Caenorhabditis elegans: one gene and its partner. The protein of the gene in region 1 interacts with the protein of each later gene in a biochemical or structural test. Each region holds a gene or a part of one and is shown on either strand. Other genes may lie near its edges.

What was found.
Region 2: of the proteins of zim-3 (region 1) and chk-2, one has a biochemical effect on the other in vitro, tested with the Caenorhabditis elegans proteins (one study listed by BioGRID).

The regions. Positions count from the first base shown.
Region 1 is NC_003282.8:10,551,380-10,566,641, reverse strand, and holds zim-3 (C2H2-type domain-containing protein), read right to left. Parts: upstream 7,928-15,262; 5' UTR 7,922-7,927; coding exon 7,823-7,921; intron 7,760-7,822; coding exon 7,038-7,759; intron 6,881-7,037; coding exon 6,619-6,880; intron 6,533-6,618; coding exon 6,281-6,532; intron 6,201-6,280; coding exon 6,007-6,200; intron 5,959-6,006; coding exon 5,897-5,958; intron 5,852-5,896; coding exon 5,716-5,851; intron 5,676-5,715; coding exon 5,657-5,675; 3' UTR 5,432-5,656; downstream 1-5,431. Other genes in the region: him-8 (C2H2-type domain-containing protein), read right to left, coding at 2,827-2,927, 3,137-3,189, 3,238-3,431, 3,481-3,793, 4,245-4,576, 4,636-4,728; zim-2 (C2H2-type domain-containing protein), read right to left, coding at 8,618-8,694, 8,742-8,794, 8,846-9,039, 9,131-9,391, 9,464-9,743, 10,042-10,832, 10,895-10,993; zim-1 (C2H2-type domain-containing protein), read right to left, coding at 11,330-11,348, 11,393-11,546, 11,598-11,659, 11,705-11,898, 11,953-12,207.
Region 2 is NC_003283.11:19,902,298-19,917,879, forward strand, and holds chk-2 (Serine/threonine-protein kinase chk-2), read right to left. Parts: upstream 13,727-15,582; 5' UTR 13,677-13,726; coding exon 13,636-13,676; intron 13,583-13,635; coding exon 13,446-13,582; intron 13,390-13,445; coding exon 13,259-13,389; intron 13,216-13,258; coding exon 13,077-13,215; intron 12,971-13,076; coding exon 12,834-12,970; intron 12,485-12,833; coding exon 12,377-12,484; intron 12,026-12,376; coding exon 11,906-12,025; intron 11,853-11,905; coding exon 11,796-11,852; intron 11,747-11,795; coding exon 11,660-11,746; intron 11,583-11,659; coding exon 11,458-11,582; intron 8,710-11,457; coding exon 8,612-8,709; intron 8,371-8,611; coding exon 8,291-8,370; intron 7,706-8,290; coding exon 7,547-7,705; intron 6,852-7,546; coding exon 6,840-6,851; 3' UTR 5,789-6,839; downstream 1-5,788. Other genes in the region: fars-2 (phenylalanine--tRNA ligase), read right to left, coding at 202-356, 1,917-2,189, 2,807-2,972, 3,686-3,788, 4,030-4,186, 4,987-5,136; Y60A3A.19 (Protein YIPF), read left to right, coding at 14,272-14,386, 14,456-14,606. UniProt on the Caenorhabditis elegans protein: Serine/threonine-protein kinase which is required for checkpoint-mediated cell cycle arrest, activation of DNA repair and apoptosis in response to the presence of DNA double-strand breaks.

The DNA of each region.
Region 1 (15,262 bases):
ACCGTAGGCACACATGTATGCACAAGGCAGGCGTAGGTCGCCTTAAAAGCAGATGGGTACCTTTATGTCAACTAGTTACTAGTGCCCCTGAAGGGGGAAATTGTTTCAAAATCATAAGTTTTTTCGGAGTACTGAAGTCCTAGAAAAATACACATTGGCTTCTGATGATGAAAAATATATTTTGGTAATTTTAAACAATTTCTCCTTTGACGATAATGTAAGTGATGTTATTCTTGTGTGGCGCAAGGGCATCTGGAGCAGCAGCACCTTCTGATCCCCTAATTTAATATCTCTAGTACTCTCCTATTCCTAGATACTCTCTTCTCACTTATTAAGGGAGACATATGGGCGCCATTCGGCAGGTAGTCGTTCGTTCCCAAAGTGTGCCTTCAGGTGAAATATGGTATAGCAATCATCATGCAAATTATAAGCGAGACGCAGAATACACACAGCGCCGGACAAAGTTTATTATCCTCGAAGACCAATTTTGAGAAAAAGGAAAATTGAGGAGAAAATGTCGAAAAAAAAACGGAGCGAAGGTCGGGTCGACCCTTTTTTTCTCTCTACTGGTGAAATGAAGAGGTGGTAAGTAAGTAAGCGCTTCGAAGCAGAAATATATGGAATAAATAAGAGAATAAAAACTGGAAGAAGAGAGTGTGAAAGATGTAACCAGCTGGAAATGTTAGCAGTGACTTCTCACTAAAAATGAAGAATACCAACTGAAGAAGGACAAGAAAGGGATGATTAATAGAAACGAAGAAAAAGAACAACAAAATTGAAGGAAGATGGATGTAAAATTCGATTTGACTGATGCTTCAAATTTTTATCAGACTCATAGTTAATGTTTAGGGTGAAGTTTCTGCTCCGATTCTATTGCTAAATATTTTTCCCAAGTTATATATGATAACTAAAAGTTATACACTAATATTATCACTCACGGAGATACATAATAATCAAGGAAATATCCCGCTTTGTTTATTGTAACTATAGTAAAATCTTAACACAGAAAATATTTTTTGTATTACCTATACTTATCTTGTAAGCTAGAGTGATTTTAACATTTCCTATTCCATAATAAATTATTTTCAAAGATCCTTGCAACACTTTGCACTTTTCATAATAATGTGTCCTTTTCATCGTGATGAAATATTCTGAAATTCGATTTACTAAAATTGAATTTCGCCAGATTTCGTTAAGAGCAGTTGATCTTTTTTGGATTTGGACACATACTTTTATTTTAACTAGGGTTCAAAGCTTCTACGTACGAAGCTTCTAGAGCTAAGCGTAATTGTTTCTTGGGCTCAAGTTAATAATCGAAGGGAAAACTTTAACTATGAAGGTGTTTTGTAAAAGTACAAAACAGAATTAATAAACTGTTCAGGTTTTTTAATTGTTCATTTTAGTCGGCAAAACTATTTGAGAGCTTTCCACAAAAAGCTGTTCTACAGTAATTACTAAGTTGTTTACAGATGGAACATTTAGTTGAAACATTACGAAACCTTGTGAAAAATGCATTTTACCACAACTTTACTAGAAAATTTTGAAAGTTCCTGGATCGTTTTCTTATGATTTTTGGCCATACATATTGAACTATTCTATGGTGTATTTAGACATATTTTGTAAATTTGTAAATAGTAATCGCTTATAAATTAAGATTTTTAGCTAAACAGTTTCCAAACATCTATCTGAATAACGTATTCTAATCTCATTAATGATTTAGAAGTACGGTACAGTAAGATAGTGTAAATATCGGGTAATGGATTGAAAGTTTTGGAAATCATCTTTACATGATCACATAACATGAAAAATTTTTGTAGAAGTATGCTTGAAATCAACTCCAAAAATAATTATTATTTTGGATGGATCTGAAACTTTCAAACTTTCACAGTTAATAAAATCTTTAATTCTGAAATTATAAACTTACAATCAGCTTAAACTTGGGTTTGCTTAATCCAAGTACCTACCTAACCTTTGCCTAATTTTGACAACTTCTGAACAAGTTAATATGTTTTGACAAATTTGGCACATAGTTGTCGGGGAGTCAGCCGAAAAATTCTTAGAAGGGATAGTATTTGAATAACATCAAAAGGTCATTTAAAATTGTTTCCAATTCCAATTCGCAATTTCATAGAATGCAACGCAAATTTTGCAAAGAGCCGACATGAAACTCATCATAAATTCCTATCCATTTTCACGCCGGTCGCTCATAATAATTGAACCGCAACAGCCTCACTACGCTCACTCCAATTATAATAAATGAAGCGATTATCGAAATAGTTGACCGAAGAGGGGGAACTTTTCCATTAAAAAATAAGACCGGTAAATAATGGAAAAAAAGAGAAGGTAAAAAATTGCTTCATCTCTGTGTATATAATGATGAATATCCGTTTTTATGAGCGCGTCTCGTATCGAAAAAAAGAAGTGGTGGAGGAAGAAGTTTTTATAGGTCCGGTGTGTCTTTTTATGGGTATCGTGACGCTTTAGGCGCCGAATTTGTCGTAAAAGTACGATGAGGAATCTGTGAGAACATCAAACAGCATTGAAAGAATTTTATTCATTAACCCTTGTATTACCTGATTGTAGAGATTTATATCATTTTAAACAATTTGAAGCGCCAGATCTTAAATTTCCATTTTCTGAGCCAAAGTTTTACTAATCTCGAGCTGATTATCAATAAGATTTTATTAATGACACAAACTTTGTAGAAATATGACATAAACCGAATTATATTAAAATTTCGAGATTCGTGCTGTAGGCATGTATAATGTATGAAGTATGCAATATGCCGATATTTACAAAATAAAACGGCTGTGAACTTGCAAAGTTCTAGATGCCACTTCTCTTGGACTTTGACTTGACCCGGCTACGGCGGCTGCCATTTTGAGATTTTGGAGGATTTTTTCGTTTGTTCATCTCGACCAATTGATCTGAACAATTGACTTTCAACTGAATTATGAAACAGAATTTTCAGTTTCCAATCCATGTTTGAAATTAAATTGAACAATTTGGCCTACAGTAAATGAATTTTTTGAGTCGATTTTTATCAAGAAGATTTTAAAAATTTAAAAATTAGAGCAAATCTAAAAAATCAAAAACCATATGGATGTAAAACTATAATTTTTAACTTGATACTTACCTGCGAAACAAGCATTCATAATTTTTTGGAATCCTTTATTTTTGGTTGGCAAGCTGAAAAATTTGCAATTTGTTGAAATATTTTAATTTCAGAAAGTTTACCCAGACACTCCGAAGCCTTCCATTTTTGATGTTGAGTGAAAAATGCGATAGTGATAACGCATTTGACGGATTGTATGACAAGTGTGCTTGCATTTTTTGCATTTCAGAAAGTTTTTATCGCAATGGACCAATGCGTGATCGATAAGACGAAGTTTTCCATATTTCCTCTTCCACGCAATTGCTCGATTGCAGTTCTGCAACAATCCAGGTAATGGAAAAAAACAAACAGAAAATTTAACTCACCGGGAAATGACATTGAATATTGTGGATTTCATCTTTATTAATCTCGTCGTTTTTGCTGTCTGGAGATTTCATTTCATTCTCATTCAACTGATCTTCATCACCGGATTCGTTGTGATAATCGAAAAATGTAGGACTTCGTAATGGAGTCATCACTGTGGTTCGATCAACATCCATCAATTCTGTTTCATTCATAATAACATCATCATTCGGTGGTAATGACTGATACTCTTCATAATCATCAATATTTCCATCGTTGTCTACACCGTCTTGGAGAAACTCCGACTGTCCAGATGATACAATCGGCGAATTAATACTGAAAAAAAAACGAAATTTAAATTCTTGTGACTAACGGTACCCGGTCTCTCGGCAACCGTTTTTTTTCAGGTTCAAAAGAATGCACCTTTAAGGAGTACTGTAGTTACTAACTTTGTTTTTGCAGAATCCGCATTAATTTTTCCTAGTTTTTCCTCCGTTTCTTCAAAACTTGATGTATTTTAATATACATGATTCAACAAAAAAAATCTGGGAACCACAGTACTTTTTAAAGGCGCACACTTTTTTGAATTAAACTAAAATCGATCTCTAGGGTAAAAATTACAAAATTTTGCATATGGGTAATGTCTAAAACAGGTTCGAAGCTTTGAAAAAACAAGTGAATGAATTTTTAATTTGGACTACGAGAAAATATTCAGCGTAATTTAAGATTCACTGCTAAAAGAGTTTAAATTATTGAAAAAAAAATTTTGTATTAAAAAAAAACGTACTCGTCTCCATCTGCAATATTCGTCGTATGATTGGAAACAACATCTTCGATTATCATATCCATAACTTTTTCCACACTATTATTACTTTCATGTGAACTATTTAGTTCTTCTTCTGGTTCTTGATCATAGCTTTCCTTCAAATCTTCGTTCTCGTCGTTCGGTCCAATTTCGGATATTTTTTCCGAAAGATTCAGTGTGAATTTTTGATATAATCCTACGTTTGGAACGATTGGAGTGGAGAAACGAGGAGTATCGACTGTAGCAGTGTTGATTGAAGATATCGACGTGCTCTCGGTGAGGGAAACAAATGAGCTGCCACCGGCGAATTCATTCTGTAAATCGTAATAGTTTCAAAAACGAATACTCAGCAATGAAAAAAAGATAGGCTTACCAAATATTCAATCAATCCATAATGTTTCAAGTTTTCCAGAGTTTTTCCATAGATTCTGATATTAACAAACGAATTTAAAGAATTTCCATTCATTTATCGTATCTGAAAAAATAATTATTAAACATTTAAATAGGGTCGAGCAACAAAAATAAAGGGAATCACAGCATTAAATATTCAAATTAAAAACAAATAATCTCGTTTTACACGAGGGCCTAGTTTTCCCTCATTCTGCTGTTGCTGCACCATATCGTGCCAGAAGACCCATTTACATGCATGTCATCTGTTATTTCATAATAATCTGGCATGCATCTTTGAAATTAGAAAATTTTCATATTTTAACAAGATATTGACGAGCCTTCTCGTATTTTTTCCGATGGGTCTCGCCGCACAAAAAGTGTATGGTAAATAGGTTTAAACCTAGGTTTTTTTTCAATTTTTTGCTGCTACGCTTTTCTTGTATTTTCAAGAAAAAATCACTTAGTTTTTAGCGAAGTTTGTCGTTTTCTACTCATTTTCCTGTTTAAAATTGTTTTAGATCAGTTTTTTCCATAGTACAATTAACATTTATGATCAAAAATGCATGTTTTACACGAAGAAGGATATTAAAAAAATTTAACAGAAAAATGCAAAGTTAATAAGAAAATTAGCAAAAAACGAAGTAATGTTTTTAAAAAAGGAATGAAGCAGCCGAAAAAGTTAAAGAAAAGTACCATAAACTTTTTGCGCCTCGATGCCCATCTGAATAACTCCGTGTGCCTTTAAGAAGGTATATTAAAATTTAGTGATATCACATATATACAGAACTGAATTTAATAGTCAAAAAAGGTATTATAGATGAAAAACTCGCGGACAAAAAATTTACAAAACAAGTTATTTTTTAATGAAAAACATATTTTATAAGTTTATCTCGACAATAACAAACAAAAAACAAAACAAAACAATGAAACTATTACTAAAAAACATTGCAAATGTTACATGAGTTGACAAATAACACATTGTGCAGAGTCGTAGCGAAAGACGATCAGCGAATTCTGCGAAAACTAAACTTCAGAATAAAATAAAGTATATGGAAAAACCTACTAGAAAAGATCGTGTGATGGTCCTGGAGAGTCTTTATCTACATTCTCATTGTCGACTTCTGGAGTATTTTTCAGCGAGTTTTTACATTTTTTATATCTCCGCGGTTTCCCAATATTTCCGATGATGGAAGAATGTGCTGTAATTACACATTGAATATCAATATTTCATATCTGTCTAATACCTCCGAAGCACTTTTGGAAAAGATCGAAAATCGCCACTTCATCAAATTCGATATTGAACACTCTGAAATAATCGTGTTTTATATAATTTATTGAACAATTGACGGCTTACTTCTGAATATTAAACCCATCACACCTCACTTCTGGATGCATTTTTTGATAGTGATACTTCATTTGGGGATGTGTACTGCAAGAGTATTCACATGTGCGACAAACGAGACACTTTTCATTTTCATGAGTCATTGCATGATCCAGAAGTCGTTGTTTGCCGTATCGAAGTTTCCACGAGAGAATTTGCTTACAACCCTGAAAATAGCTTCTTTTTTTTAAATGTTGTCATATTTCCTGAACATCCTCCCTAAGAAATGGCTCAGATCGGAACTTACTTCGAAATTACATTTAATAATATGATTTTTATTCATTTGCTCGTTTCGCTTGTTAAGACGTTGGACAACTGGAACAGCAAACGAAACTTTTTTCGTCGAAGGAATCGGGCTCTCATCCTCTTCATCATCTTCACTGTTTTCCTCATTCTGCTGTTCTGCCTCATCAATTTCTGTTCCAACTTCTTCATAATTTCCGATCAGCACAGTATCCTCATCATCGAAATCATATTGAAACTCTCCCATGGTATTATGCTGCAAAATATTCAATTAAAAACGAAAATCTCATCATGTTGCGACAATTTACAAATTAGAAATAAAGGAAATCTCTTCAATCCTACCTCAGTTGACAGTTCTATGACTGGATGATGATCAACGATATGATTCCCAATCGAAACTGTTCTTTCTGAATCCGTAGCTTTCAAAACCGGCTTCACGTCCTCAGAAATAGAACTCCTGGGCTCAGTGCAAAGACTTTTTGCTGACAAAAACGATTCATTATCTCCATATTCATTAATTGGTTGTTCATATGAGAATCCATCTTTATCCAGTGGAATTGGTTCGGAGTGTGGCACCATGGTTTCATTTGAGCTTTCAATCGATCTAAAAAACAATGAAATTCTCAAGTATATATTTAATTTTACTGGTTTTTGGCATTATTGGAAGTTTGGTCTGTCTTCAATTGAAAATAGAGTAAGTATATCAACGTTGCTTAATTCGCTATACGAACGGTCAGAATTCTCGTCAGAAAAATTCTTACGTGAGCCGTCTTCTTTTCGTTAACTTTGAAACTGTAGGCTCTATTTTGACAGTTTCTTTGAGACTACTCAGAGTACTCAAACGTCTCGAGCTTCTTCTCTTTCCTTCCTGATATGGAACAATGGAACTAGCTGCTTCAGGAAGTGCTCGATAAAATGACGATTCGACCTCCTGACAGTTGGGGATCAAAGTGGTACAGTCATTGGAGGAATCTTCGAATAATTCATAACCTTGATAATTCGAATCAATTTCGGAAATTCTTTCTGTCATGTTCATTGTAAACTTTCGATCCAAACCATTTTGTGGTTTGATGGGAGTTGAAAAGCGGGGAACACCAATGTTTGCGAGAGTTGTGCTCAAAAGAATCGGAGCTTGATCAACATCGGCAACAGTTTGTACCATTTCTTCGAGCAAATCCTGAATCACGTCTTCCCTGGAAGTTTCGGATTGATAAGAGTTCTCCAGGCATTTATCAGTTTTATCGTCATCCGATAGAATCTCCGATAGCTTCTCAGCCAAATTCAATGTGAAATTTTTTGCAGAATTATATTTTGAATGGCCGACAGCAGGAGTTGAAAATCGAGGAAGCTTGTTAGTGGCCAAAGTTGTACTTAGTGGAACAACTGGTTCGATTGTACTTTCAGAATATGTAGAGCTTTCATTAGTTAAGCTCGTGTACATTGAGCCCTCCACAATCCAAAGCTTGGAGCAACCGATATTGTTCTGAAATAATAACTACTATTCAAATTCAAATAGCAAAAGATAAAATTTCCTTATCAAACCAACCAAAAGAGATTCCAACACAACTCCCTGTTGCTGAAGACCTTCTATAGTTTTCCCATAAATGTTCACTTGAATAAAACTGTTCCAGTCATCGCAGGTCATCTGAAAAATATACCATGAAAACATCAAGAATTAAAAAAATGTCCAAAAACATGTTCTCAGGCGTATCGACAACCGTTATTTACATAAATTCATCGCAATGAATAGTGAAGAAATTGAAAGTTTGTTATCATGATGATAAATATCAGGCTTAAAACAGTCTTTATTCATCTACTGGTTAAAATACAAAAAGAACAGGAACTAAAACGCGGAAACGAAACAAAATACTTCCGACAAATCTAGAAATGAAGAAAGACCTGATCGTTGTGAGACCTTTGACAAAAGTATAATGTGCCTTGAAAGTATACGGTAGGAAGAAATATAATACTGTATTTACTTACAATTAGTTTTTAAATTTTGTTGCATACAGCATTTCTTTTTTTGAAATAATTTTTAACATTTACATTTATAAAAACTACATTTTTGACTCTAAATAATTGTGAAAATATCATGTTTGATTCGTCAAAAGAACGATTAATCCAAAAAAAAAAAACACAATTAACTGAAAAAACACTGTATTTTATTTCTGTAAAACTACAAAATAATTAGAACATGATAATAATTGTACATGAGGGTGTCGTCGTGATGCTCATTAAATTCTGTTAAAACTGGATTTGAAATTAGTGATATGAGCAGTTATGGAGCTTACAAAAACATCTTCACATCTTCCGCTTGTACTCTAGAAGAGATTTTGGTTTTCTATAAGCGAATACTTTTGAGTTTTCGACGAGGAGTTCGTTCAGCTTTTCTAACGGGTCCGATCGTTTTCAGTTGATCTGGAATTTGAATAGCATGTAATCTCTAAATAATTAGAATAATGTACCTCCAAAACATTTATTCCATACATCTGAGAATTTGGTATTTTGAAGAGGAATGCTACAAGAGGGGTTTATCAGTTTTCAAACGGTTAGTTTTAAAAAATCTCACTTGAGAATTCCGAAGCCTTCCATTTTCAGATTTGCATGAATCTTTTTGTAGTGATAACGCATTTGTCGAGTTGTCTGGCATGAATATTCACATTTCTGGCAGTCAATGGATTTTTCCTCTTGATGTGATAGTGCATGATCGACCAGTCTAAGTTTTCCATAACGAATCTTCCAGTGAATTTTTCGATTACAGTTCTGAAAAGATTATTGATTGAAACACATTATATCTATGCGACTTTTTATTGAAATTCAGTTTTTTCTCTGACAACGCGGCAAAACAACTCACATCAAAATGGCATTTAATGTTATGAACTTTATTCATTTCTTCTTTTTGTTTGTTGGGACTTTGAACAAGTGGAAATGCAAATGAAACTCGATTTTTCGAAGGAATCGGGCTCTTTTCCTTTTCATCATCTTCACTGATAACCTCATACTGATCTTGATCATCTACTTCAACGATTTCGGCTCCCACCTCTTCATAGTTTTCAATCAACATAGTATCCTCGACGTCAACGAAATTATTTTGAAACACTCCTTCGATGTTATGCTGCAATTTCATTAATGAAAACGGATAACTCAACAAGTTGTGATTATTTCAAATTCGATTTTTAAACATTACATCTCTTGACAGTTCTATGACTGGAGGTTGATCACTGATAATGCTTCCAGTCAAAACTGTTCTTCCAGAATTCAAAACTTTCAGAACTGGCTTCAAGTCGACAGCATTACAAAAACTGGGCTCATCACAATGACTTTTTGCTGATGAAAATGATTCATTATCTCCATATTCATTAATTGGATGTTCGTACGAAAAACCATCTGATTGAATAGCTGATGTAGAAACAGGAAATGTATGTTCAATATTAGGACGCACAGTTTGACTTAAAATTTGAATCGGCCTGAAAATAACGAAATTCTTAAGTAAATAACTATCGGTGATTGGAATCGTTAGGAGTTTTGAGTATATTTATAACTTTAGTCCTTTCGATACCAAAAAAAGTTTTTTTTAAATAATGGAACTTTTTTTTTAATCGACATGAGTTCTGCTTAAAGTTTAGATGCATCTAAAATTTGAACCTGAGCTTTTTAGACATACAGTTAGTAAAAAAACCCATATTTATCATTTTGAAAGAAATTACATTTTCTCCAAACGAACTTCGAAAATTCAGAAAGCTCGCAACGAAAAAAAAAACTTACGCGAGCCGACTTCTCTTCGTTGATTTTGAGACTGCAGGCTCTATTTTGACAGTTTCCTTGAGACTACTCAGAGTACTCAAACGTCTCGAGCTTCTCCTCTTTCCTTCCTGATATGGAACACTGGAATTCGATTTTGGATTTTTTGGAGTCGAATAAATATTAAGAAAATCGTCGTAGGGCGTATTTGAGAAAGTTCTGGCATTGTTGACACCAGGAATGTTCTCACACAACGACATTTCGACTTCCTCGCAGTTGGCGGTCAAAATTTTGTTGGAATCGTCGAGTACTTCATAACCAAGATAATTCGAATCAATTTCGGAAATTCTTTCTGTCATGTTCATTGTAAACTTTCGATCCAAACCATTTTGTGGTTTGATGGGAGTTGAAAAGCGGGGAACACCAATATTTGCGAGAGTTGTGCTCAAAAGAATCGGAGCTTGATCAACATCGGCAACAGTTTGTACCATTTCTTCGAGCAAATCCTGAATCACGTCTTCCCTGGAAGTTTCGGATTGATAAGAGTTCTCCAGGCATTTATCAGTTTTATCGTCATCCGATAGAATCTCCGATAGCTTCTCAGCCAAATTCAATGTGAAATTTTTTGCAGAATTATATTTTGAATGGCCGACAGCAGGAGTTGAAAATCGAGGAAGCTTGTTAGTGGCCAGAGTTGTACTTAGTGAAACAACTGGTTCGATTGTACGTTTTTCAGAATATGTAGAGCTTTCAGGAGTTGAGCTGGTGCACACGGATCCCTCCACAATCCAAAGCTTGGAGCAGCCGACATTGTTCTGAAAATATGTACTTTGGAAAAAAAGTATAACGAGAAATCAAAATTATTAATCAAACTAACCAAAAGAGTTTCCAACACAACTCCTTGCTGCTGAAGTCCTTCTATGGTTTTTCCATAAATGTTCACTTGAATAAAACTGTTCCAATCATCGCAGGTCATCTAGAAAATTCTTGTAAGAACATATTTAAATTAATAGAATTTTAAGTCTATCTGGAGTGCTCCACTTTCAAAAAGTTATATCGAAAATGGGCAGCAGCAAGAAAGTTCCAAATGAAACGGCGATTAACATTTAAAGTAGGTCTTAGCAAGAAATATTTTCAAACTTGAGTGAAACAACATGTCGTAATTATAAATTAAAGCGGTGATAAAATGAAGACCTTCAGAATTATTAAAAGAAAAGTCGCATAGAATGCATTAAAAACAACATAATATAACATCAACGATAATAACACATGAGACACAATTTACAAAAAGCAGACGGCCCGACGACGAAGCTCATCGAATTCTGAAGAAACTGAATAAAAAAATGACGCGGAATGTTTTAAACTTAATGCTCACTAAAATGGCTTCACATCCTCGTCCCTAGCTTCATCCAATTTTTGTTTTGCACCAGAATCCATAGATTTCTGTGATCTTTTAGATCCTTTGTCTTGTCTTGAGAAATGCAATAGGTTTGAATCGGTACCAGATCCATGTTGAAGGACACGATTTTCTAGAAAGTTAACATTTTAAATTATAACTTTTTCATATATACTTCACTTACTTTTAAAACATTCATCCCAAACCTTCGCCAAGTCTTTTCCTTTTTTCGAAGTACGGACCACACTGAAAAATAAGACAAATACATTAATTTTTGGAATCTCAAAGTACCTTTTGATACCAAATCCCGTTAATTGTTCATCAGGATGACTTTTCTTGTGATGAAGCCTAATATTTCTAATTCCTTTGCACATGTAATCACAAAAATTGCACTTCATTTTCAAGTGAGGGACATGAGTGAAGGCGTGATCCACAAGACGTAGTTTACCGTATTTTTTGCGCCAATTGTACGATTTGTTACACTTCTAAACGGGAAGAAAATGTTGATTTTTCATATTTATTTGTTCTCAGAAACTCACATCAAAATGGCATTTAATGATATGAACTTTATTCATTTCATCCTTTTGTTTGGAGCGACTTTGAACAAGTGGAACAGCAAACGAAACTCGCTTTTTTGAAGGAATCGGGCTCTCATCCTCTTCATCATCTTCACTGTTCTCCTCATTATGTTGTTCATCTGCCTCATCAATTTCTGTTCCAACTTCTTCATAATTTCCGATCAGCACAGTATCCTCATCATCGAAATTATATTGAAACTCTCCCATTGTCTTATGCTGCAAAATCTTTAATTAAAAACGAAAACCTCCCTCACAAGGGAAGTCTTTGAGGGGGTCCCTAGATTTGGGATTCTCATGTTGAAATTCCAATAGAAGAGTATTCCAGATGATCCCTCCAAAAAATTTAGCTGCCCAGGTTGGGTTTCAGCAAAGTTATGACGTTTTGAAAATTCGGTCTGAAATCGGTTGATTTGTATACTAAATCAACGGTCGGCATCAGCCCGGGACACCATAGTTGTCACCAGGCGCGTGGTGTGAGCAAATCATCGGTTGGTTGGTTGAGTGCACAGGTAAACCGCGTCATGCGAATATTCGTCGGGTGACGGGCCGCTATTTCGCGAAAACGGTACATGGCTTTGGTGAAGGCGCGGGCCGCTATTCGATGAAGAACTCGCGAAAAACGGACCGGTAAATGATGAGGACGCTCCGAATGCCCAGCTAGCTGGCACCCCGTTATTCGCCATATATTGAAATTTGCGGTTCCTTAATAACAATTGATAGTTCATAAAAATTTTTATTTTATAAAAAAATAAAATAAAATTTGAAAAAAAATAGAAAATTATTCGGATGGGGACGGGTTTGTCGATGCAGATGACACGTTCCGAGGCGACGAGGCGGCAGGAGTCGGTGATTGTTGAAGTCGCTGAAAACAAAAAATGGTTTTTAATTAAGTATCAACTATTTTTCTTACGTGATGAATAATCGTCGAGTTGACAAATATCACAGTCCACGTGAGCGTGTTGGTGGTGGAGCATCGTCGATCACATTATTCTGTCCCATCTGACTGTCTTCGCTGGAACTTCTACAGATCTTCGCAGTTTGATTGCCCTGATGCTAGACTCTGATCCGAGAATTCGTCCATTAAGTCGAGATCCATGCTACAATTAAAGACCGGAAGTCGGAAATTTGTGCTCAATTTGTCAATGTAATCATTAATTTTTTAACCCAAAATTTTATCAACTCGAATTTTCAGAATCAGCAGCACACTCCCATCCAAACTCCAGAGACGAGTCTCTCCATTTCTATGGATTCCGCGTCGGATCCGCGGATGAATCGGTACCTCAACGTCGGATATGCTGAAACACGAGTATATTTACGGAAAATAATTATTTTTGCCAAAAAAATCAAAGAATTGCTGAAGAAAACTATGAAAAATCGAAGAAAAAGAAAAAAATGGTGAAAAAATAATTTCGAAAATGAGGAGGATTTACGGTAAAGAGGGCGCGCAACCGTTATTTCGGAGTGTCGTTGCCATTTGCGTTTGGAGCTTCTTTTGAAATGGTTTCTCGCTCTTATATTGAAGTCGTAGAAAAGAAAAAATCACTTTGAGTCGTAAATGTGATTTGTGATTGAAACCAACATATAATTGAAAAAAAGTTAAGTTCAATAAAAATTTAATTAAAAATATTTTCCACTGATTTTAAAATTTTGATAAGGGTCCCCCCTTATGAAAAAATTTTGGGAAAAATTTTTTTTCCAAAAAATTTCAATACTGCAATACTTGTGTAGGAAATGTATATTTTAGTATTTTCCACAGTTTTCATAGCTCAATCGCACTCCTGGGCAAAAAAATACAACAGTCAATTTGGCTTGTTCATAGAAAGTCAGTACTTCCAAAATGTTCTACCTCCGCAGGCAGCTTAAATATGAAAAACTTGTCAACTAAAAAGTTGTTGTGAATAAAGTGATTGACAAATTATTTATTGTAACTTTTTTCCATCTTGGATGGCTGAGCAAATAGGAGCACCTAGTTATGAGTCAAATATCACTAATTATGACTGATGATATCTCCGTACTCTGCACAGAAAGCAAAAAACTATTAAGTATGAAACATGTTCAATAACAAACTAAAAAAGTTTGTAGTTGACAATTTTTAGATATCTTGCTTGCCCGATGTGGGACATGACTTCGAAAAACTGGCATATCAGGTAGATCTGTTAGAGGGATAGAGGTTTTTACAGTTTGTTAGTTTTCGAAAGCACCACATTTGGTAAGAAAACTTATTGAAACGAACAAGTAAACATATTTCTACAATATCTGATAAATATTTGACAACTTTTGAAAAAAAAAATTTTTCGATTTTTATGAAAAAAAATCCAAAGGCTCCCCCCTTATGAAAATTTTCTAAAATTTTTTCGAAATTTTTTTTTTTGAAAACTTTTCATAATTTGATCAGATGTTATAGAAAAATGTAAAAATGATTGTTTTTTTAGTTTCGATGTGCTGAACACGAGTTCAAACGAAAACCTGAAGTGTATTAGAACACCTATGTTCAAAAACGCTTTCACTTTGGATGCTTATATCTCCGTGGAAAAAATTTTTATGACAAAGCAATCAACTACAGAGTTGATTATCTTAATCTAATGTACGACTTTGTAGTTGAACGTTTCTCATCAAAAAAATTGGTGGTCGAGATAAAGTTGTGTTAATTGCGGAAGCTTCATGCTTTTATTTTCTACTTCTTTTTCTGTTCCTATCTCGACCACCAATTTTTTTGAAGAAAAACGTTCAACTACAAAGTTGTACATTAGATTAAAATAAACAACTTTGTAGTTGATCGCTTTGTCACAAAAAATTTTTCCACGGAGATATAAGCATCCAAAGTGAAAGCGTTTTTGAACATAGGTGTTCTACATACTACACCTCAGGTTTTGGTCTGAAATTGTGTTTAGAACATTGAAACTAAAAAAAAACTACAAACATTGCATTTTCTGTAACATCTGAGCAAATTTTGAAAAGTTTTCAAAAAAAAAATTTAGGCGAAAAACTTTTTTCAACCATAAGGGGGGACCCTTTTGCTCAAAATTGGAACATCGGAGGAATCATAAGGGGATCCTTATGAAAGTTTAAAAATCAGTGGAAAACATTTTTCACAAAATTATTTGTTGTTTACAATCACATTTCGCGTGTTAGCGGCTGTTCGTTCGTTATTCACCAGTTGCTCGCATGACGCGGTTTACCTGTGTGGTAACGAGATGGGTTCTGGTGGTGAAGGTTGTGGGTTCGATCCCTTGCGTTATAAAGCTTTTTTTAAAAGTTTTACTGTATTTTA
Region 2 (15,582 bases), on another chromosome or scaffold:
ACCCCCTAACCGCAATTTTCAGCGTTTTAGCGCAATTTTCCGTCAAATCAGGTGCCAGGGTCCGCAAACGCCAGGCTACAGTAAGCCGAAACACCAAATTTGACGGAAAATTGCACTAAATGGCTGAAAATCAAGATGTAGGGGTAATTTTGCGCGGGGAATTCGAATTTTTCACTTAAAATCAGAGTTTTCAAAGTCTACCTAATATCCGGAATTCCATAGAGCACCATTGCAATTCTCTCCAGCCCTATACCGAATGCCCAACCAATTTTGTCAGTTACTCCGGCGGATTCGAGCAATTTTTGCTCCATAATTCCACAACCGAGCACTTCAAGCCATTGCCCGTTGTAGAAAACCTGAAAAATTGGATTTTTCGGGGGTCTAAACATGAAAATTTTGAAATTTCAAGTTAAAATTCAGATTCTCCGTGCAAAATTGCCCCTAAACCCAGATTTTTAGAGGTTTAGTGCAATTTCGCGTCAAATCTGGTGTTTTGGGTTACTGTAGCGCGGTGTTTGCGGACCATGGCACCTGATTTTACGGGATTTTGCACTAGAGGGCTGAAAAATTGGGCGGTATGGGTAATTTGGCATGGAGAATCTGAAAATCAACTCGAAATTTCAAAATTTAGAGTTTTGGAACAAGTTTTTCAGTGAAAATTTGAAAATTTTTAGAAAATTATGAATTTTCACCACTTCAGGCCAGAATTCTCGTTCTGAAACTATTGAAATCGGTTTCTCCGTACCAAATTACCCTTGAATCCCAATTTTCAGAGTTTTTGTGCAAAATTCCGTCAAATCAGGTGTCAAGTCCGCAAACACCGCGCTACAGTAACCCAAAACACCAGATTTGACGGAATTTTGCATTAAAACTCTGAAAATCGGGGGTTAGGGGTAATTTGGCATGGAGAATCTGAAAATCAACTCGGAAATTGGAAAATTTTAATTTTCGCCAAAGTTTTTTTTGGTGAAAATTTGAAAATAGTCAGGAAAATATTGATTTTTACAATTTCAGGCTGGAATTCTTGTTTTGAAACTATTGAATTCGCTTTGCCCATCGCAAATAACCCCTAAACCCACAATTTTCAGCGTTTTAGTGCAAAATTCCGTCAAATCTGGTGTTTTGGGTTACTGTAGCCCGGTGTTTGCGGACTTGGCACCAGATTTGAAAGGATTATGCACTAGAGGGCTGAAAAATTGGGGTGATGGGTAATTTGCAGTGGGGAATTCGAATTTTTTGATTTCAGAGCGAAAAAATTCAACCGAACTGCAGAAAATTTGAGATTTTTCCTTCAAAATCTCAGAAAAAACGTTCATCTTTTTGGCAAAATTGTCGTCGCGATTTTCGAGTTTCTCGTGCAAAACTACCTCTGGGCTCCGATGATTTTCAGCGCAATAGTGCAATTTTTCGTCAAATCAGGTGCCAGGGTCCGCAAACACCGCGCTACAGTAACCCAGGGCACCAGATTTGACGAAATTTCGCACTAAAACGCTGAAAAATGGGGGTAGGGGTATTTTGCGGCGAGGAATTCGAATTTCTCACTTAATAATCGAAAATTGCAAATTGGAACCGTGAAAATCCAATTTGTCTTAAAATCCTATGCTCAAAAGTCTATAAAACCGAGCTCCAATTTCGAAATCTTAAAATTTGAATTCGATTTTCAGATTCCCCATGCAATTTTACCCCTGACCCCCGACTTTCAGCGCAATTGTGCAATTTTGCGTCATATCAGGTTTCAAGTCCGCAAACACCGCGCTACAGTAACCCCAGAGACACCAGATTTGATGCAAAATTGCACTAAAACGCTGAAAAATTGGGGGGTTAGGGGTAATTTGCGGCGGGGAATTCGAATTTTTTGGTAAAAAATTGCCATTTTCAGATTTTCCTGTCGAAAATGGGGATTTTTCCGCCCGCACCTCCAACTCCCACGAGGGATGTGTAAACGGGAAATATGCATCAACCCATCGTTTTTCGGCGTCTTTTCCGAAAAGTTCATCACAAAGATTTTCGAGAAACTGTTTCAGTTGAATTTCGGCGGCTTTCGTCGCGTCCAACGTGTGTTTTTCCTGTTTTTCAGGGGACCTCTCCGTGGCCGCGGAGGCGGCCGTGGAAAAAAGTTCGGCCACATTTTTTCCGTCCGGCTTTTTGCCGAGTAGTTCGTCTTTCGAGTAGAGCCGAACACCTTCGATCTGCAAAAAATCAAAATTTGATTTGCAAATTTTCACACAAGTTTTTGAGTTAAAAATGAAAATTTGGGCATAGCTTCCGCATCTCCGGTGGCAAATGCGCTCTATCGCGAATTGTTGGTAAAAAACGCGGTATTTATTGCATTTTCAGCCGAGAATACCGGATTTGTACCACCAATTCGAGTAGAGGCACAGAAGCCACAAAAAAGTTCAATTGTTAGGCTTAAAGGCCTGAAACTAGGCTTCCGGGCCTGAATTTTCAGATTTTCACAGCTAAAAGCCTGATCGGAGCACAAAAATTATGATTTTATAGGTTGAAGGGGTTCAAAATTAGGCTTGGCAGCGTAAAAAAAAGTTTATCGTTTTTTTTGGAAATTTATTGATTTTTTTGGGAATTTATTGATTTTTTTGGAAATTTATTGATTTTTTTGGAAATTTATTGATTTTTCTGTAATTTTATCGATTTTTCTGGAAATTTATTGATTTTCTGGAAATTTATTGATTTTCTGGAAATTTATTGATCTTTCTGGAAATTTATTGATTTTTTCTGGAAATTTATTGATTTTTTTGGAAATTTATCGATTTTTCTGGATTTTTTTCAAATTTTCTCCATTTCGAACCTGATGGAAGCATGGATAATGTGTCCGATCGACTTCATCCCTCCGATAGACGTCTCCAATCACTAAAAACGCGTCGAGACCCGATTGCATTAAATTGTGCTGGTGAGCCGAGGTATGGGCTCGCAAGCAGTGCTCATGGTTCACGTAGTACGTATCTGAGGGACGTCTAAAATTTTTTTTTCGATTTTTGGACTGAAATTTGACGTTTTAGGCTTAAAATTTGGTTTTAAAACTGGTAATTTCGGATTTTTCACTACAATTTTATTTATTTTTTTCATTTTCATTAGAAAAAATGATGCAAAGTTAAAAAAAAGGAGAAAAATTTTTAAAAAAAGGGAAAAAAAACGAAAAAAAATGAAAAAAGAATGAAAAAAAATGCAAAAAAAAAACAAAAAAAAGAGAAATAAACGAAAAAAGAAAAAAAAATTTCATTCTTTTTTCATTTTTTTTTCGTTTTTATTTCCATTCTTTTTTAATTCTTTTTTCGTTTTTTTTTTCATTCTTTTTTCGTTTTTTTTTCGTTATATTTTTTTTTCTTTTTTTTTCATTCCTTTTTCATTCCTTTTTCATTCTTTTTTCATTCTTTTATCATTTTTTTCATTCTTTTTTCAATCTTTTTTATTCTTTTTTCATTTTTTCCTATTTTTCTTTTTTTTTCATGTTTTTTCTTTTTTTTCATTCTTTTTTCTTTTTTTTTTTCATTTCTTCTATTCTTTTTTCATTCTTTTTTCGTTTTTTTTCATTCTTTTTTCGTTTTTTTTTCATTCTTTGTTCATTTTGAAAAAAAAAATTCTCTCAGACGTAAAAAATCGTGAAAAACTCGAATTTTTCAGTCTCAAAACCCAATTTTCCGCAAAAAATCCTCATTTTTATCCCAACCTTGACACATGATCCTCCGGTGTCAGTAAAGAGTCGAAATTCTGATAAGTAGTGACGACACGAGGCTCGGATTCACAAATTGTGAAGAGTGGCGAGCGATTTCCTGGAAAAAAGGTGAAAATTCCAGAAAAATCAATAAATTTCCAGAAAAATCAATAAATTTCCAGAAAAATCAATAAATTTCCAGAAAAATCAATAACATTTGAGAAAAAAATTTTTTACAAAATTTATTGATTTTTCTGAAATTTATTGATTTTTCTGGAAATTTATCGATTTTTCTGGAAATTTATCGAGTTTTCTGAAATTTCATTGATTTTTCTTCAATTTTCACGTATTTTTTTTACCTGGTTTTCTGTATGTTTGATGTACATAATCGACAATTCTTCTTTTCAACAAATTCAGCGGATTCGAAGATTCTTGGAGGATACGGCGATCCAAAAGCCGTCGAACACCTGGTGACAGGTTGTATAATGCGTCTGGAGTGTATTTTCGACCATCTAACTGAAAAAAAAATTGGACATTTTCGCGGTTTTGGAATGAAAAATGGGGGAAAAGCAAAAAAAAAGGAAAATTTTCTTTTTTTTTCTTCCTTTTTTCATTTTTTTTTTCGTTTTTTTTCCCCTTTCTTTTCATTTTTTTTCATTTTTTTCTTTTCTTTTTTCGTTTTTTTTTCTCTTTCTTTTCATTTTTTTTTGTTTTGTTCTTTCTTTTTTGATTTTTTTCTTCCTTTTTTGTTTTTTTTCTTTCTTTTTTCGTTTTTTTTCTTCCTTTTTTCATTTTTTTTTCTCTTTCTTTTCATTTTTTAAAAATTTTTTTTCATTTTTTTTGTTTTTTTTTTCGTTATTTTCCTCTTTTCTTTTCTATTTTCATTTTTTTTTCGTTCTTTTTACCTTTTTTTCCTCTTTTCTTTTCTTTTTTCATTTTTTTCCGTTTTTTTCCCTTGCTGAAAATTGGACTTTGAGACAGAAAAATTCTAAATTTTCACGATTTTTTACGTCTAAGAGAATATTTATAACGAAAAGTGAAAAAAAGAAGAAAAAAAAAGGAAAAAAAAATGAAGAAAGAATGAAAAGAAAGAAAAAAAAATGAAAAAAAAATGATTTTTTTTCTTTTTTCTTTCTTTTTTGTTTTTTTTTTCATTTTTTTCTCTTTAAAAAAAATTCTCTTTTCTTTTCCTTTTTTTCTCATTTTTTTCCTTTTTCCTCTTTTTCCTCTTTTTTCCTTTTTTCCTCTTTTTTCCTTTTTTTTTCGTTTTTTTTCCTCTTTTTTTCTCTTTTTTCCTTTTTTTTCACATTTTTTACCTCAAAAACCTCTTCTTTCACTATTTTTCGTGACTCCTCTGCCGCTGCCGTTGTGCTCATCAACGTGGCTCTTATTGACTTGGCATTTTTCTGGAAAAGCATTGTACAACATCGTCGAGCACCCGTTTGATATGTGGAAAGAAATCGCATTCTGAATATAGAAAAATCAATAAATTTTCAGAAAAATCGATAAAATTCCAGAAAAATCAATAAATTTTCAGAAAAATCAATAAATTTTCAGAAAAATCAATAAATTTCCAGAAAAATCAATAAATTCCCGAAAAAATCGATAAATTTCCAAAAAAATCGATAAATTTCCAGAAAAATCAATGAATTTTCAGAAAAATCAATAAATTTCCAGAAAAATCAATGAATTTCCAGAAAAATCGATAAATTTTCCGCAAAAATTAGTAAATTCGGAATTTTTTCAAAAAAAATTTAGATTTTCAGTTAGAGGAAACTGTAAAACTTTAAATTTTGTGTTTTTTTATTTCAAAAATTCAATTTTTTTCAAATTTTTTCCGGAAATTGTACAAAATTACAGTCAAAAAAATGGGGAAAAGCTTAGAATTTTAGCTCAAAAATTGAAAGTTTACACTTTTTCAAAAAATTTGAATTTTTTTGGACTTTTATCGATTTTTAGCTGAAAAAATGGGGGAAAAGCCTAATAAAAATTCAGCTAAAAATTGAGAATTTCAGATTTCAGAGCAAAAAATTCCGAAAAATCACAAAAAAAATGGGAAAAGACACCATTAAACGGAGCTAGAAAAAAGCTTTGCAAATTTAGAAAAAAATTAACAAAAAAAGTTCAATTTTTGAAAACAAAAACGCAAACAGAACAGAACAGAGAAAAATTACAGAAAATTTCACAAAAAAAAATTTTTTTGGGGGGGGAAAAGCTTAGAAAAAAAAATGAAAAAAAAAATAAAAAGAATGAAAAAAAAATGAAAAAGAATGGGAAAAGCTTAGAATTTCGGGAAATTGGGGGATTTTTAGCTGAAAAATGTGGAAAATTTGAAATTTAGCGAAATTTTCCGATTTTTTGAGCTCTAAATTGAGGAAAAGCTCAGAATTTCGGGCAAATTGGGGGGATTTTTGGCCACACAATTTGGGAAAAATATTGGATTTCTTAGCTGAAAAATTTGGAAAATTCGATTTTTTTCAGATTTCTGAGCTAAAAATTGGGGAAAAGCTGAGAATTTTGGGAAAATTATAGGAATTTTTAGCTGAAAATTCGAATTTTTAGGCAAAAAAATAGGAGGAAAAGCATAAAATCTCAAGAATTTGGCAAAAAATTTGCAAATTTTAGGGATTTTTCAATTTTTTTCGAATTTTTTGCAGAAAAATTTTCGATTTTTAGCCAAAAATTCAGATTTCTGAGCTAAAATTGGGGGAAAAGCTTAAAATTTTGAGCTAAAAAATCCGATTTTCAAGCTTAAAAATCTGATTTTCGAGCTAAAAAAAAAATCGATTTTCAAGCTAAAAAAAAATCAATTTTCAAGCTAAAAAATCCGATTTTTCCCATCAAAAATGCTGAAAATCGGAATTTTACATGTGAGAATAGCACAAGAGGTGGGGCAAAACACAAAAAAATTGAACAATTTTCGAAATTTTGGGAGAAAAACGCAATAAAATGGGGGGCTCTGGGAGCTTATAAATTGGAATTTTAAAAAAATTTTAACGGGAAAATATGGAAATTACGGGGAATTGGGGGATAAAATTCGAAATTTATGATAAATTATGTGTTGAAGAGACCTCAAAAAGACACATCTTGGACGCAATTACACCCGATTTGACGACAAATTGCGGACTTTTGCGGCGGTGAAGTGGTGGGGACCCACGTGGAACGTTGTTCACATTTTTGCCTGAAAATAGGGTTTTTAAGGCTAAAAAATTGAAATTTTCATATATTTTTTGCTGAAAATCGAAAAATTCCGGTTTTAACGTGATTTTCAACATTTTTTTGCGATTTTTAGTTGAAAAATTCAATTTTTAGTGGATTTCGCTATTTTTTTCTTTAAAAAATTGAAATTTAGCTGCATTTTTCTGAAATTTTCCATTTTTGCAGGTGTTTTTACTTGAAAAACGCTAATTTTATGAGATTTTTAAGATTTTCAAGCGAAAACCGTGAGCGAAAACCGAAAAAATAGAAATATTGAATTTTTATGTGAAATCACTAAAATTCCGGGTTAAATTTGATTTTCTGCGAATTTTTCTAGAAATTTTATCGATTTTTATGGAAATTTATTGATTTTTCTGGAAGTTTATTGATTTTTATGGAAATTTTATCGATTTTTATGGAAATTTATTGATTTTTATGGAAATTTATTGATTTTTCTGGAAGTTTATTGATTTTTATGGAAATTTTATCGATTTTTATGGAAATTTATTGATTTTTCTGGAAATTTATTGTTTTTGGAAATTTATCAATTTTTCTGAAATTTTATTGATTTTTCTGAAATTTTATTGATTTTTATGGAAATTTATTAATTTTTCGTCAATTTTCCGCGATTTTCAGTGAATTTTCATCATTTTTCGCCAGAAATCTCCAATTTTTGACCTTTTTCACAGGTCCAGCTTGTGTAGTTTGTAGTGCAGCTGGAGCTGCTGCTGAAATCGGCTTAATACTCTTCAAAATATCCTGTTTCGCAGTACGACAATCCGCACATTTCATCCATTGAGTACTCATTAGTTCGACGGCAGACGGGCGGTTTGATGGCTGAAAATTGAGGAAATTTTAGCTCTGAAAAATGGGATTTTAAGGCGAAGAAATTTTTGAAGTTTTGGCCGTTTTTAGAGCGAAACATTTAGGAAATTATTGATTTTTAGTGAGTTTTTCGACGAGAAATCGAAAAATTTCACTGAAAATTTCATATTTCGGCACTTTTTTTGGAGTTTTTTACTTTTTTTTCTGAAAAAATTGGCTTTAAAATGTAATTTTATACATTTTAAATGCAAAAAACCACTTTAAAAGTTAAAAATTTGAATTAGCAGCGCCCAAAAACGTGTAGTTTGTAGTTTAGCAGCGCCCAAAACTTGTAGTTTGTAGTCTAAGCAGCGCCCAAAATTTGTAGTTTGTAGTCTTAGCAGCGCCCAAAACTTGTAGTTGGTAGTTTAACTTTAAAATATCAAATTTGGGCCATTTTTTATGATTTTACATATTTTTAGGCGAAAAACCCCAAAAAAATCCATATTTTCCAGTATTTTAAGTTAAAAATCTCATTTTTCGCTGATTTTTCCAGTTTTTCACTCCAAATTCTCGATTTTTTAGGCCAATTTCTTCAAATTTTCTTTTCATGTTTACCTCGACAGTAAGCATCCATTTGATCATATTCTGTGTTTCGACAGTAATTCGACGCCATTGTGCGTGGAAGATTAGGCGGCCTGAAAAATTGGAATTTTTAGACGCTAAAAATCGATTTTTTCGGTAGTTTTCCGGCCGGAAAAATGGCTTGAAAATCGAAATTTCAGCATTTTTACACCGAAAAATGCTCTTTTTCGAGTCAAAAATTTCTATTTTTGCTTGGAAAACGGCTATTTTTCGCATTTTTTCCCGAATTTTAGGTCAAAATCACGGATTTTTGCCCAAAAATCCGTTTTTTTCACTGAAAATTCGTCAATTTACCTGTCAAAACTTGTTCATCCATCGTCATATCCGTATATTCTTCGCTGAACGGTGGATAACCGGAAAATGTGATGAAAAGTACGCATCCGAGGCTCCAACTGCAAAGAAATTGGTGAAAATTTGAAGTTTTTTGGGAGATAATTGACGTTTTTTTTTCCAATTTTTAGTAGAAAAATCATCAAAAATTGAATTTTTCGAGTGGAAAAGCTAAAATTTTGAATTTTTATATAAAAATCGATTTATTTTTCCAATTTTCAGTGGAAAAACTTGAGTTTTTTGCAAATTTTTCGGTATTTTTGACCGAAAAAACCAAGTTTTTGTGATTTTCGTGCGGAATTTCGGATTTTTCCGGGCAAAAATTAGGGAATTTTGGTCATTTTTAACGGAAATTATTGAAATTTTCATGTTTTTCGGGAAAATTTGTTTTAAAAATTTTCCGATTTTTGAACGAAAAAATGAATTTTTCGGTCGAAAATCCAATTTTCCCCAGAAAAAACAAACCAATTTTTTTAAAATTTTTATTTTAATAAAATCCGAGTTTTGGGTGAAAATCGACGTTTTTTTCTCAATTTTCAGCCAGTTTTTCTTAAATTTTGACCCGAAAATAGAATTTTTGAGTCAAAAAGTAGTGTCGAAAATTCGTAAAAATTGCAGATTTCTGCCGAAAAAAATCAATATTTCCCCAAATTTTGTCAGTAAAAGTGGAGAAATTGGGAAAAAAACTATGAAAATCCCCGAAATTTGGTCAGAATTTATTAAAAATTCAGGTTTTTCACAATTTTTGGCTGAAAAAAAAAACGAATTTTCCACTAGAAATTGCCCAGAAAATCTCAATTTTCGATGGTTTTTCGCCGAAAAATGCGATTTTTTCGATGTTTGCCCTTCAAAAACTGAAAATTTGGCATTAAAATTTTTCCATAATTTTTCACTAGAAAATGCCAAAAAATCTAGTTTTCAGACAAAACAATCGAAAAAATGCCAATTTTTGCCGATTTTCAGTAAAAATTTGCATTTTTACTCGAAATTAGACGTAAATTCCCGGTTTTCTGGGTTTTTTTCGGCGAAAACCTCAATTTTTTGAATTTTTCTTCAAAAAAAAAAATCGAATTTTTGGATAAAATTGATATATTTTTTGTGAAAAAGTTTTTGTGATTTCCGAGCGGAATTTCGGATTTTCGCGGCAAAAATCTATGAAAATTGGGTTTTTTTTTTCGTATTTATTCAATTTTTCAGCGAAAAAATTGGCAATTTTTGTCATTTTCCACGGAAATTATCGAAAATTTCCGTTTTTTGAACGAAAAAATGAATTTCAACGCTATTTTTCGGTCGAAAACCGCATTTTTCCCCCGAAAAAAATCACGAAAATTGCCAAATTAGGCGTAAAAACGAGGAAATCCAAATAGTTGCAAATTAGCCATGAAAATTCCTATGAAAAATGGGAATTTCTACTGGAAAAGAGGCGAAAAAAGACGGAATCTCATCAAAAATTCATCATTTTTTTTCGCATTTTCAAGTGTCTAGATATATGCCAAAAACTACTTGAAAATGCATAAAAACATGGAAAAATGTGGAGAAAATCGATTTTTCGGCCGAAAAATTGAGTTTTTCGCCGAAATAAACCCAGAAAACCGGGGATTTATGACTAATTTCGAGGAAAAATGACCAATTTTTACTGGAAATCGGCAAAAATTGGCATTTTTTCGACTATTATTGGCTGAAAATGAGATTTTTTGGCATTTTCTAGTGAAAAATTATGGAAAAATCTCAATTTTTATGCCAAATTTCCAATTTTTGAAAGGGGAACACCGAAAAACTCGATTTTTCGGCGAAGAACCGTCGAAATTTAAGATTTTCTGGACAATTTCTAGTCAAAAATTATGAAAAACCTGAATTTTTTAATAAATTCTGACCAAAATCCCGGGTTTTTTGAGAGATTTTTCCAATTTTTCCGCTTTCAGTGGCAAAATATCGGGAAATATCCATTTTTCGACTGAAAATTGATTAAAAAAAACACAAATTTCTGAAATTTCCACTGAAATTATTGATTTTCGGCTCATTTTTCCAGGAAAAAACGGTTTTTTTACTGAATTTTAGCCAAATTTTGAGCAAATTTCCGAATTTTCGATGAAAAATTTGAAAAAAACACGTTTTTAATCGGATTTTTCACGAAAATCTCCATTTTTGATTCATTTTCACCAAAAATTATCGATTTTTAGCTGAAAATTAGAGTTTTTCGCCGAAAAAAATTCAAAAAACCGGGGAATTATGTGTAATTGACTCTAAAATCGTCGGAAATCTTTTTTTTTTCGATTATTGTGGCTGAAAATTAGATTTTTTGGCATTTTCTCGTGAAAAATTATGAAAAATCTCAATTTTTTTGCCAAATTTCCAATTTTTGAAGGGAAAACATCGAAAAACTCGATTTTTCGGTGAAAAACCACCGAAAACTGAGATTTTCTGGGCAATTTCTAGTCAAAAATTGTGAAAAACATGAATTTTTAATAAATTCTGACCAAATTTCCGGTTTTTTTGATAGTTTTTTTCCAATTTTTCCATTTTTACTGACAAAATTCGGGGAAATATTGATTTTTTTCGGCTGTAATCTCTTGAAAAATGGGATTTTTATCCGATTTTCAGCATAAAAGCTAAAATTTCTTTAATTTTCGTAGTTTTTGGCTCAAAATTTCAATTTTTCTGCCAAAATTTGTGGAGAAACTTCATTTTCCATCGATTTTAGTGATTTTTCCACGAAAAATTCGAATTTATTATCGATTTTCACAATTTTAGAGTGATTTTCGCTCAAATTTCCGAATTTTTAAGTCATTTTTGCCGATGATTCTACTAACATATCGACTTTTGGCGTGTACTCAACACCCTCATTCGCCACAATTTCCGGCGCATTATAAGACGGCGTTCCACAGCGAGTTTTCATTCGATTCACCGAATTTTTCGCCATTCCAAAGTCGGTTAGCTGCAAATTTGGAGGTTTTTCGGGTGAAAATTGACTAAAATTCAGCTTTTTTGAGCCAAGAAATTGCCAATTTTCACCTTTAAAATGCACCGCTCCGCTTTATCCGAGCACAGAATATTTTCGGGTTTAATGTCACGATGACAGATTCCAACAGAGTGAAGATACTGAAAAAAAACGAGCGGTTTTAGCGACGAAAAATTACCTAAAAATTACCAAAATCGCGTCGATTAGCTGAAAAGCGAAATATTTTCCGAGCGATTCACCGAGACCCTGAAAAAATGGAAAAATTAGGGAAATTTTCGGGATTTTTTCGGCCAATTTACCATTCGATTGTACTTGGAATCGACGACTTTTGAGAAAAATTCGCCTCCGCCGACATATTCGATAACCATATATGAGTACTTGGCGACGGTGATCCAATCGTAAATTGCAACGATATTTGGCTGAAAAATTAGAATTTTTAGGGTTAAAATGGCATTTTTGAGCATTTTTAACGCGAAAAATCACTTTTTATCGATAATTTTAGTGAAAAATGGCTCGAAAATAGGCCAAAAACCATTGAAATTGAATTAGGAGCGCCCAAAAATGTGTAGTTTGTAGTGTTAGCAGCGCCCAAAAACTGGAAAATTCTCATTTTTGAGCATTTTTGACCAAAATTACTTCAATTTTCGCTTAAAATTATGCTTTTTTGATCGAATTTCGTGAATTTTCAGCGAAAAATGCGGAAAATTTCGATTTTTCAGCAATTTTCCGTGTAAAAATCGATTTTTCAGCAATTTTCGTGTATTACTAACATGGCTGAGCTTCTTCATAACTTCAACCTCATTTCGAATATCTCGAGTTTTAGCGATTGCTCGGCTGCATCTTGTCGAAAATTGTGTGTTGAGCTGTTTAATAGCCACCTGAAACATGAAAAATTGATGATTTTTCCGGGAAAAAATGGCTGAAAATCGATTTTTCCCACAAAAATTGAGGGTTTTTATCGATTTTCCGTGAAAATTTCAAGGTTTTCGGCAAATTTTCATCGATAAATGTGTTTTTCCAGTTAAAAATCGCATTTTTCAGAGGAAAATTTGAATTTTCACAAGTTTCCGGTAAATTTTGGCGGTTTTTAGGTGAAAATCAGCAAAAAAAATGGCTGAATATGCACCAAAACTGGCGAAAATTCACAATTTTCGGAGATTTTATCGATTTTTCTGGAAATTTATCGATTTTTCTCCAATTTTCGGCATTTTCCCACGCCGCCCGTACCACTGATCGATCGGATTTCTTGTATCCGAGCAAAACTTTGCCAAAACCGCCTTTTCCCAGCGAATGGCTCGTCACGTGGTATTTTTTCGTCAGTTCCTCCGGATGATGGTCGGCGTCGGCGCTTTCGTACACGAAAACTGCAAATTTTCGGGGTTTTTTTGGGAAAAATCGACGGATTTTGGCGGAAAAACCCGTTTTTTTGGGCAATTTTACCCTAAAGCTTTAAAATCGTCAAAAACGCACTGATCAGCGCTGGAATCCCAATAGAGATCAAATCTCCGTTCATTAGCTCTCTGGACAGCCCTTTTCCGATCATTTCCTGATTTACGAGGGTCCCGTTGCGTGAGTGATCGTGTAGATAGATTCTACGCGTTTCTGTGTCCTGAAATATTGATTTTTTTGGCGATTTTTCAGTAGAAAACTACTCTATCAATGGAAAATTGAATTTTCGAGATAAATCTGTAGAGCCCGACGTCTTTGGCGACTTGAGAAAAGTTGAAATTCGTCGGAGCATCATCCGAGCCGCGTCCGCACACGAAATGATCGTCTGCCAAGTCTGGAAAATCGATTTTTAGCCGGAATTTCGTGAAAATTGCGGGAAAATCGACAAACCGATGGAAGAAATGCCTCGGCGGACGCCGACAAGCTTCGCGAAGGGTTTTGAAGCAGCACACTGTGATTCTCCGACGACAAGATCCTCGTCGACGGGCATCGTGTCGTCTCGGGTGACCGGAACCACCACGATTGGCCTAAAAAATTGAATTTTTTGCGATTTTTGGGGCAAATTTTGGTGATTTTTTACTTTTCCGCCGAGCTCCGACGTCTTTTTGTCCCGCGAACCATGGAAATCGCTGAAAAAATGGAGAAAATTGCGAAAAAATGGAGAAAATTGCGAAAAAAACGAAGAAAATTGCGCGAAAATTCGATTAAAAACAACTAAATCCTAAATAAAATACGAAAATACGAAAATCGCGGCGAGACGCGGCGAAACCCATCGATAACGAGTACTGCGCCTTTAAAAACTACCGTAGTTTTTTTAACGAATTTATTGACTTTTTCATTGGTTTTAGACTCAAAATCAATAGGAAAGTCGATTTTTTTTTCAAATTTTTTGTAAAGTTTTTTGAAAATCGTGAAAAAAACAACCAAAGCTTGCAAAAATTGAGTAAAAATTAAAAAATCACAAAAAAACATTAAAATCGCGGCGAGACCCATCGATAACGAGTACTGCGCCTTTAAGAACTACCGTAATTTTTCAATGAATTTTTGGATTTTATTCAGTTTTTCCGGGTTTTAAAACGTTTTTAACGTAAAAACCTGTTTAAAATGGATTTTTTGCATGAAATTTGTCGAAAATTTGAATTTTCTTCATATTTTTCTCGAAAAAATCGCTGAAAACCACCTAAAACCCCCGTTTTTTTTTCAGAATTTGGTGAAAATGGACTACCCGGGCACTGGAGTCAAGCAACCGGAGGTCTCTATCGACTTAAATGGCTTTTACTCGTCGAATTTCGAGCAATTTGAGCACCCGGACCAGTCATCTAACGCGCCAAGTACGAAAAATCTGAATTTTTAGGCCAAAAAACTAGAAATTTCCGTAAAAAATCGATTTTTTTTTGCAGATTCCGGCTCAATTTCAAGCCCGACTGGACAAATTTCAGCTCAGGCTTATCGTCGTACTAATGCTGGAGCCGCTGGAAAATTTATGGAGAATAGTGGATTTGGGTGGCTTCTGGAGGTCAATGAGGAGGACAGTGACCAGATTCCACTGCTGTAAGCGCCAAAAATGATGGAAAATTGGCTACAATCGAAGAAATTCGAAAGAAAACGGAGAAGAAGTCGAAAAATTTGAAGAAAAATGGGCAAAACCCCCTTTTTTCGACAAAATTCCCGAAAAATTGCAAAAATCCTAACTTTTTTTGGTTTTCCGTTAATTTTTCAAGTTTAAAACCTAAAAATTCAACTTTCCCGCGGAAATCTACCCCCAAGCCCCATTTTTCAGCGTTTTAGTGCAATTTTGCGTCAAATCTGGTGTTTTGGGTTACTGTAGCGTGGTGTTTGCGGACTTGACACCTGATTTGACGGAATTTTGCACTAAAACGCTGAAAATTGGGGCTAGGGGGTGAAATTGCATGGGGAATTCCAATTTTTTAGTTTTAAACCGCAAATTTCGACCTAAAACTAGGAAAATTCGAGATTTTTCTGAAAATTTGAAAAAAACTAGACTTCAACTCTGAATTTTTCAATTTTCGAGTCGATTTTCAGATTCTCCGTGCCAAAAAACCCCTAAGCCTCATTTTTCAGAGATTTAGTGCAATTTCGCGTCAATTCTGGTGTCTTGGGTTACTGTAGCGTGGTGTTTGCGGACTTGACACCTGATTTGACGGGAAATTGCACTAATGAGCTGAAATTTGAGGTCAGGGGGTGAAATTGAATGGGAAATTCAAATTTTCTAGTTTAAAACCGTAAATTTTGATCTAAAACTGGGAAAATTCGATATTTTTCAAAAAATTTCGAAAAAAGTTCAAAAACTGAGTTTAAACTTCAAATTAATCGAAATTTAAGTCGATTTTCGGTTTTCCCAGCCAAAATTACTCCTACACCCCTATTTTCAGCGATTTAGTGCATTTTTGCGTCAAATCTGGTGTGTTGGGTTACTGTAGCACGGTGTTTGCGGACTTGGCACCTGATTTGACGGAATTTTGCACTAAACTTCTGAAAAATTGGTTTTCGGGGTGAAATTGCATGG